Coturnix japonica: one gene and its partner. The protein of the gene in region 1 purifies or fractionates together with the protein of each later gene. This does not show direct contact. Links are inferred from orthologs where the notes say so. Each region holds a gene or a part of one and is shown in the gene's direction. Other genes may lie near its edges.

Region 1 (4,261 bases):
TCCTTAATTACAAGAACCAACTTTTCCTACATGCTTAACCCCAAAGCTGTTTGCTTGGCTTGGTCACACTGACTTGCGGAATCAAACTCTATAATCCAGAGATGGGTTATAAAGCAGGTATGTTTATTCCAGCATTGCGCAGCACCGGGTGCAAGGGGGATAGCTCCACCAAACTTGCACACCGACTTGTAAAATCGTGACACAGATATAGGTACATTTAATACATAGTCAATGATTTCTCAGAATTCTGATACATATTCAATGATTTCTTAAACTTCTAATACATAGTCAGTAGTTCTAGGAATTCTGATCCATATTCAATAGCTCTTTAGCATACAGACCCCCTCTTGTTCTTATCAGGGGGAATGCAACTCCTCTTCTGGTCGTCTGTGAGGTCTCACTCCTTATCTGCAACCTCCCTGCTCTCCTAGGCCCCTTGTTTCTTTTACTTGTTACCTTTAAGTTTCCTTTACTTGTTTCTCTAAACTACCTTTAAGTTTCCTGCTTCACTGTTCAACACCAACATGTAACCAAGTCCAAATGAAACCACAGCAACAAACCTTGCTTCCTGCAGCCCGGGATTTTAATAAACGCCCCATATTCCGTCACAGCAGCCACCTGTGAAGAAAACCAACACAGCATTTAATCGAAAGCCTTTAAACATTTATTCTCACTATAGAACACACACAACATCCAGATTATTCGTGTGATTTGCTACAACTCCGGGCACCTCAGCAGGTTGGAGCCAATATAACTATATCATATGGGGCCAGCTGCTGCTGTGCTCTGCAGACAGGCATCCTATAGAGGCCGATATACACACGGTGCCATATATACATACATATATATACATATATATGTGATATACACACAGTGCACACACCTCGCCCTGGAAGATGGCGTACAGCTCAGGCAGCGGCTCCATCGCCTCAGCGCCGGGGGGTGACGCGCTGCGGGGCCTACGACATCTGCCAGCCGCCTCCAACTACAGCATGAGACCTAAAGATGCCTTAAAGGAAGAAAACCATATGGAGATCAGACGGACCCGCTACAAAACATCTCTAACTCGCTTCACTCTACGCTCACAGCCGCCATTAGGCCTCCTCCGCACCGCCCTCACCTGAGGGGAGTCTTCAGCCCGCCAATCAACGCGCGCGATACTGGCGGGAGACAAGCGCAGCCAATCGAAGTGACTCATGTTATCTAGTGCCCACCCCTTGACCTCTCCGGCCTCAGCCCGGCCAATCCGTGTGAGGAGCGCGCCGCGATCAAGCGCGGTTTATACGTCATCTCTATGCGACGGAAGGAAGAAGAGAGGAGGGTGGGACATCTGGAAGCGCTCGTCCAATCAGCTCTGCAGAAGGCCGCGCTGTTGGCCAATGGGGGGGCAGGCGGGCGCGCGCGGCCCGTGGCGATGATCGAGCAGCAGAAGCGAAAGGCGCCGGGCGGCCCCGTGCCAGGCCCCGCACCGGGTCCAGCTCCAGCTCCCGGCCCCGGCCCCGCTCCCGGCGCTGCACCCGGCCCCGCTCCGGGTCCCGATCTCCCGCTCGTGCCCTCGGCGGCCAAGCGGCCTCGCCATGACCCACCTGCGGCTGGAGGAGGGGGCGGAGGCGGCGGGCAGCCCCCGGCCGGTGCTTTGGTGCAGTCGGTGAGGCCTGTGAGGGGGGACGGGAACGGAGGGGACCTTCTCTTTTGTCCCTCTCTACTCGGCTCTTGTGAGGCCCCATCTGTTGTACCGTGTCCAGGTGTGGAGCCCTCAGTACAAGAAAGACATGGAGATTTTGGAAAGGGTCCAGAGGAGGAACAGGAAAATGATCAGGGGGCTGGAGCACCTCCACTATGAGGACAGGCTGAGGGAGTTGGGTTTGTTCAGCCTGGAGAAGAGAAGGTTGCGGGGTGACCTCATTGCAGCCTTTCAATACCTGAAGGGAACTTACACCCAGGAGGGGAGTAAACTCTTGGAAAGGGCTGATAATAGCAGGACACGGGGAAATGGTTTTAAGTTAAAAGAGGGAAGATTTAGGTTGGATGTTAGGGGGAAGTTCTTCACTAGGAGAGTGGTTAGGCCCTGGAACAGGCTGCACAGGGAGGTTGTGGATGCCCCGTCCTTGGAGGTGTTCAAGGCCAGGTTGGACGGGGCCATGGGCAACCTGATCTATGGGGGGTCTATGGGGTCTCTATGGGGATCTATGGGGTCTCCTGGGCAACCTGATCTAGTAAAGGTGTATGTTTGGTGGCCCTGCTAGGCAGGGGGGTTGGAACTACATGATCCTTGAGGTCCCTTCCAACCCGGGTCATTCTGTGATTCTCCTTGTGCCCCTGCTCCGGATCCCCCTCACCTCCCCTTGTTCTCCCGCAGGGTCCCCCGCGCTGCTCCTCGCTGCAGGCGCCCATCATGTTGCTGTCGGGGCACGAGGGAGAGGTGTATTGCTGCAAGTTCCACCCTGGAGGAAACACCTTGGCGTCTGCTGGCTTTGACAGGCTGATCCGTGAGTAGCAGGCCAGGCTTCACCACCCCTAATTTAAAAATCATTGTCTTATATCCCATTAAAACCTCCCATCTTTTGGTTTGAAACCACTTTCCTTTGTGCAGTCACAGCAGATCCTGCTGGAACATCTGTCCCTTCTTTCTCATAGCTTCCCTTTAGGCTGCTATCACACCTCCCCTCATAGCTTCCCTTTAGATACTGAAAGGCAGCTATCACACCCCCCTACAGCCTTCTCCGGGCTGTGGATCTCTCAGCCTGAATTAGATGTATTATATTGTCCACTTTCCTCTGTGCTGTTTCTCTAGTGCTATGGAATGTCTATGGGGACTGTGATAACTACGCCACCCTGAAGGGACACAGCGGGGCGGTCATGGAGCTGCACTATAACACGGATGGCAGGTAAGGGGTACGCTGGTAAATTCCTGCCCATTCCCCACTGTTTCTAAGGGAAGATGTTTTCTGCTGGCCAGAGCCCTGCACAGCACCTCTTCATTGCCCCAGCCCAGCCAGCAGCCCTTGCAACAAACACTTCTACTGTTCCAGATTAGGAGCTGAGCATTGGCTCTGGAGCCACTTGTGACATATAAATACCTTTGGCTTCAGTCTTCAGAAATCTGAGTGCTCATGTTGATGATGTAGGAACTGTAGTTGCTTAACAAGGGAAAGAAAACACGCATGCATCTGTACCAGGAGGTTGCTAGACTTTTCTTTCTCTCTTCCCATCACAGACTGTGTCTGAAGAGTCAGAAATCCTATCTGTAATTTTATATAGAAATGGGGTTTGGTGAAAGCACCTCCTCTGTATTTGTTCTGCTGCCAATCAGCCTGCTGTGAAAGATCACAGTTGTCTTTGCATGTTGGGCATAGTTCTTAATAGTACTGGGGCCAATTTCATTTAATATCTTTATCAGATCTTCATCAGATCTGCACCACCATGAAACCAGCAGGTGACACCAAGTTGGGCCGGAGTGTTGCAGATAGATCTGGGTAGGCTGAGTTGATGGTCTGAGTCCAGTTATGTGACGTTCAACAAAGCTAAGTGCTGGGTACTGCACTTGGATCACAACAACCCCATGCAGTGGTATAGGCTCAGGGAGAGTGGCTGGAAGGGTGACGTGTGGGAAAGGATCTGGGCAGTTGTAGAGAGCAGTGAGATATCCTGCCAGCCACCTTTCCTCCAGTCAAAACAATTTAGTTTCCCTCAGCAGCTGTATCAAGAAAGGTGGCTGTAGCAAGAAGGATGTCAGTTTTCAGGTGACAAGTTACAGGACATGATCTTTTCAACCAGAATGAATGTCTGATTCAGTGGCGCGCTGACAATATTTCAAGCTTTGACATCAAGTCTGGAGAGTAAGAAAATAGGGTGGGAGAAAAGCTTCTGACATTGAGAATCTCACAGTGATTCTTCTCCACAGCATGCTCTTCTCAGCATCCACAGACAAGACTGTGGCTGTGTGGGACAGTGAGACTGGAGAGAGAGTAAAGAGGCTGAAGGGCCATACCTCGTTCGTGAATTCCTGCTACCCAGCAAGGCGAGGACCTCAGCTTGTCTGTACGGGCAGTGATGATGGGACAGTGAAGGTCAGTATAAGGAGATTAGTTACTGAAATCTTTTATTCAATTGCCTTGTTCCCTCATATTTTTCTTTAAAATCTGGGAATTCCTGATTGGAACAAGTTGCCCAAGGAGGCTGTGGATGCCCCATCCCTGCAGGCATTCAAGGCCAGGCTGGATGTGGCTCTGGGCAGCCTTGTCTGGTGGTTGGTAACCCT
Region 2 (4,505 bases), on another chromosome or scaffold:
TCTACTTTGAGTCAATATTTTTTTGCCTTTAACTGACACAGAAATGTCAGGAAACAGGTGACGGCAAACAAAGCATAGCACAGATCCGGGGTAAACCAAGGCAGGGAGATGTGACCAGATCTGTGGCTTTTTTCATCTTAGTTCACCGTACAATTCTTAATAGTTTTGTGGCTGTAAAAATTGAATTAGTTGTTCTTCGAAGATTAGCAGGAGGCAGTAGCTGTGAGCATTGGGCTACTTGAGTGAACCAGTGGCAATGGCACAATTGAATGGGTAAATCAAGGACAGGCGTGACTGGGCAATGCTTTTTGGTACCAGCTACTGATAGCATGGGCTGGCCATGACATTGGACCTGAATCTGTTAATTAAAGCAAGACCATGCCAGCTTGTTATTTAGGTATGACACTATGTGGAAAGCTTCTGGGCTCTTAAAACCAATATCTTTCCAATCCATATAGAAACTTCCATTTTCCACACAACACAGGACTCCTTTTGTGAGGGGAAATGGCATCTTCCAAAACCACATGTTAAAAGTGTACCTTAGGATCGCAACCCTTGAGCTCAGTTCTGTTTAATAACAGTGGGAATGTGATATAAAGCAAGCTGGAAGTCAAGCTGAAGAAACAAGAGAAAGTTACTGCAAATTGATCTTCGTGGTGAACCCAAGCATGTGACGGTTACTTAAAATAGTTGCAGGCATTAAATTCCTGTAGTAGGGAATTAGTGTCTGCCTTGACCTTATCCTCACACGTCTCTCAACAGCTCGGTATATATCTCTGTTCCATAGCCTACGAGTGCAGGATGTGAGTTTAATAATACTAAAGAGCAGATCCTCTGTGCTTTCACATGAATCTCAAGTATATTTCAACACATGCAGTTATGCAAAGTATTACAAGCACTGAATTGCTCAGTAAACTTCTGTAAACTAAGCGATAAAAAAGCAAATGCAGACACAGGGATGGACTGACTGATCAAACTCATGTTCTCAAACACAAAACATTGGCTTTAAGTCAGACTTGGATCTCAGGTCAGTGTTGGTGCTTCATGTGGGCTAGACTTTGCATATAACATGGCTATTAGCAGTGCTAGGATTGGATTTACTCCTGCTGTGGCTCCACGCTGCGATGGATACATGTTTACTATCAACCCCTGGCTATATTCTCAGCGCTCTATGTGGAGCACAGGCATTATGGAGCATTAGTGCATGTGGAGCATTAGGCAAACAGCAGCTCAGCATTAACGTACAAACCGCCGCCATCTTGCGGCAGAGGCCCCGTAGCACGCAGTGCTCAAGCCACATCCCCACCCCTCCGCCTCGCCGCACCGCTATTGGCCACTTGTCTTCCACGCCGCATTCCTATTGGCTGGCAGAGACGTCAGTCAGACGGAGGACGTGGCTCCGATCTCGGCCTGCGGGGCCGCCCGGCCGCCCGAGTGGCGCTTTTGGCCGCCGTCACTGCGCTTGCGCAACGCCCCAGCCCTCGGCCAGCCGCGGCGCGGCCCGCAACTGCGCGTGCGCAGTACTGCCTCGCCTCCCTCCTCCCCCCCCCCCCGAGCGGAAGCGCTGGGGCCGCGGCAGTTCCGTGTCGGTGTTGTTGGCGCTGGACAAAATGGCGAAGATCGCCAAGACCCACGAAGGTAAAGGGCTGAAATCCGCTCCTGGCGGTTCTTTTTTAAGCTGCGTGCACCTTTCGCGTCTTCTAATCCCGTTATACTCCGTCCGCAGCCCTCAGTGGTGCCGGGGTTATGGCTGCCGGGCCGGGCCGGGCCCGCTCGTAATGGCGTCGCCGCCCATATGAGCGCCATGGCCGGGCCGCCCGGCGCTGCGGGGTTGTGCGGGCGGTGCGGAGCGCCGTGCTGCCATTGATAGAACGGCGCCATCCCGACGGCAGCTACAAGATGTCGCCCGCCGAGGTGCCCCCCCTTGGTCGGGAGGCGCCATGTAGAGAGTGCTCGGTGCCGCCGCTGGGCGGGTCCATAGCGGAGCTGCTGTGGCGGGGGCTCTCCCTGCTCCCCGCACGGCTTCCCGGGCGGCATCGCTTGTGGGCGTCTCGAAGCAAACAAAGCCAGTTGTTAGCATTAGCTCTGTGCGATTGCTGGCCTGCTTTTCCTCCTGTGTGTGTGTGTGTGTGTGTGTGGCGGGTGAGCTGCGAGAGGCCGTGTTAGTTACTGTTAGTTGCTATTAACGGTGCAGTGAGACAAGAGGAGGAGGAATATGGGCACAAAGGGTTGGAGTTTTTGAGTGAACTCTGTCCAGATGTAGCCCTGTTGTATGATGAGAAACTGCTGATCGATTTAATGTAAACTATGTGTTTAAATGCTTGGAAGACCTGATCTTCAGGCGGTTTCAGATTGTTTTCTGTATTAAATCCCTTGGGTTTGTTCCTGAGGCAGGAAGGGCTGTGTGCAGACGGACAGCTCAGAGCTCTCCAGCTTATAAGTAAGATCAATTTCAAAGTATGCGGAGATCTGAGGAAGCAACATCCTACGGTCCAAGGTTTAAAGTCCTACGTTCCCTTAACACCCTCGCTGCAATCTAAGTATATGCAGTGTATGTTTTACCAGGCTGTAACGTAAGAAGGGAAGTTTGGGTCCCATGTTTCTTGCACCACGTTATTTTTAAATGCTGTAACCATGTGAGTGTTTCTTTCACTGTGAGGACTTGGTTGGATTCACACACTTGGTGTAGTGTCCTTCCAGTGTCTTCAGTAGCACTGGAAGCCTCAGGTATTTCGTTTCACCCCAGTGCTGCATTGCAGCAAGCTGCAAACAAAATCAAGAACTTGATCTGCCCTTTGAAGTAGACAAGAAACTAGAAACACGTAACAAACCTGGCGGGGTCAAAGTGCTTCTTGGAGTTGTTTTGGTTTCACAGTCGAGTGATGGGACAACTGTGCAAAAATGAAATGCCTGAAGGAGTTGTTGGTTGATGGAGTACGTGTGGGATGTCTCTGAAGTTTCTTTCTGGTATTTATTAATTATTTATTAATGTACTTAGGAGCACAATGTCTGCAGTCCTGAAGAACCTGTGCTGGGAAGCTGGATGCACAGGCAGAGTTCAGCTGGGGCTGATGGCCAGCAATATAAGGCTTTCGTTGGGCTTCAGCTCTCATGAATCTCCGGGCAGGTAGCTGGGTTCCTTCAGTGTGGAGGTGACTGTGCCCCACGTAGCTATTAAGCTCTGGCCAGCCTGCAGCTGAATTAATGATGATTTTATCTTTATTCTTAACTTTCTTAATTTGTATTCATAGGCATCTTCTGCAAGCTGCCTCTGAGGAAAAGTATTGTGAGATATATTAGTCCTGAAGAAGATAGAAGATGAGCAACAGTAGTAAATAGCTCAGGAGCGTGTGGTAGAGTTTCTGGGTGATTTGCTAGTGTAACTTCTATGCAGCTTTTGGAAATGGATGAATTTCCCTCCAATTAACATCATAGGCAGTAGGACTTCAGATGGGGAGGGGGAAGCACAGAATTGTTGAGGTCAGAAAGGGCATTTGAGATCTAGTCCAGCCCCTGCAAGCATGAGCCTTGCTATTCTTTCACCCAACAAGAGCAAATACAGATGAAAACAATTATTTTAGTGGAATTATGTGTTTCCTTGTTGTGCCTGAGTCTTGATCTTGTTTATTGAAGGCAACTGAATGACCACAGCTGATTTGCCTGTTGCTTTTACCAGTGCATGGGAGGGAGATTGGTTAAATTTGATTCCTTGGTGTTGGGGATTACTGACTTAGTGTTCTCTCAAACGGTGCCAAAGGTGCCAAATTGCTGAGGTCGGTGACTGACCCCAGGGGTAATGGGTGTCAGATCCTGATATGTTGGGAGTGCCAAAGCTCCTGTTGGCCCTCATTAATGGATAGGCAAACAGTTCAGCAGAGCAGTGGTCTCTTCGCAGGTGGTGGCAGAGGCAGGAGTTGTCTCAAGCTGGTTACATTGAGCTGCCTGAGATGGGAGCTGTGGCTGAACTTCTGCCTGTGTTGTCAGGCTGTTTTGTTGGTTCAAACGTAATATAGTGTTGCAGCATAGTGGATATTTTATTCTTGAATAAGGTGTTCTTCTGTTGCACGTTCCCATGTGTCTACTCACACGCTTCCTCCTTTAAACAGGTTTCTTTTAATAAACTGATTGTGCTGATTTATCGATGGTAACATCTCAGTAGCTGCTTTTAATGAAAAGATTACATTAATTGACAAAGCCCTGTACCATCTAGTGTTGAAAAATACTGTTGTGCTGTAATTACCTTCCCCACCATCGCTTTGGAAGATCGGATGGGTTAATGGTAATAGTTTTGAATGGTTTGCTTCAGACCACAATACAGCTGCATTAGTCTGTCCTGGATAATATTACAGCATAAAGAAAAGCTGCTTCGTATACATCGTGGTTTTATAGTTTAATGTGATAATTATATTCAGTTAATTAGAGATGGACTTAGAAACTGGGTGGTTTGCTGAATGTGATGATAGAAGTGTTGCATTTTCTGTATGTTGACAAAGACCTGAGTTTTT

What was found.
Region 2: the proteins of SNRNP40 (region 1) and SF3B1 purify together in Homo sapiens (co-immunoprecipitation; 3 studies listed by BioGRID and IntAct, with this or other methods). This does not show direct contact. The link is inferred for Coturnix japonica from reciprocal best matches to the Homo sapiens genes SNRNP40 and SF3B1.

The regions. Positions count from the first base shown.
Region 1 is NC_029538.1:606,476-610,736, reverse strand, and holds the start of SNRNP40 (U5 small nuclear ribonucleoprotein 40 kDa protein), read left to right. Parts: upstream 1-1,361; 5' UTR 1,362-1,414; coding exon 1,415-1,648; intron 1,649-2,359; coding exon 2,360-2,489; intron 2,490-2,794; coding exon 2,795-2,888; intron 2,889-3,904; coding exon 3,905-4,070; intron 4,071-4,261. Other genes in the region: ZCCHC17 (nucleolar protein of 40 kDa), read right to left, coding at 561-618, 884-925. UniProt on the Homo sapiens protein: Required for pre-mRNA splicing as component of the activated spliceosome. Component of the U5 small nuclear ribonucleoprotein (snRNP) complex and the U4/U6-U5 tri-snRNP complex, building blocks of the spliceosome.
Region 2 is NC_029522.1:26,885-31,389, forward strand, and holds the start of SF3B1 (splicing factor 3B subunit 1), read left to right. Parts: upstream 1-1,507; 5' UTR 1,508-1,610; coding exon 1,611-1,638; intron 1,639-4,505. UniProt on the Homo sapiens protein: Component of the 17S U2 SnRNP complex of the spliceosome, a large ribonucleoprotein complex that removes introns from transcribed pre-mRNAs.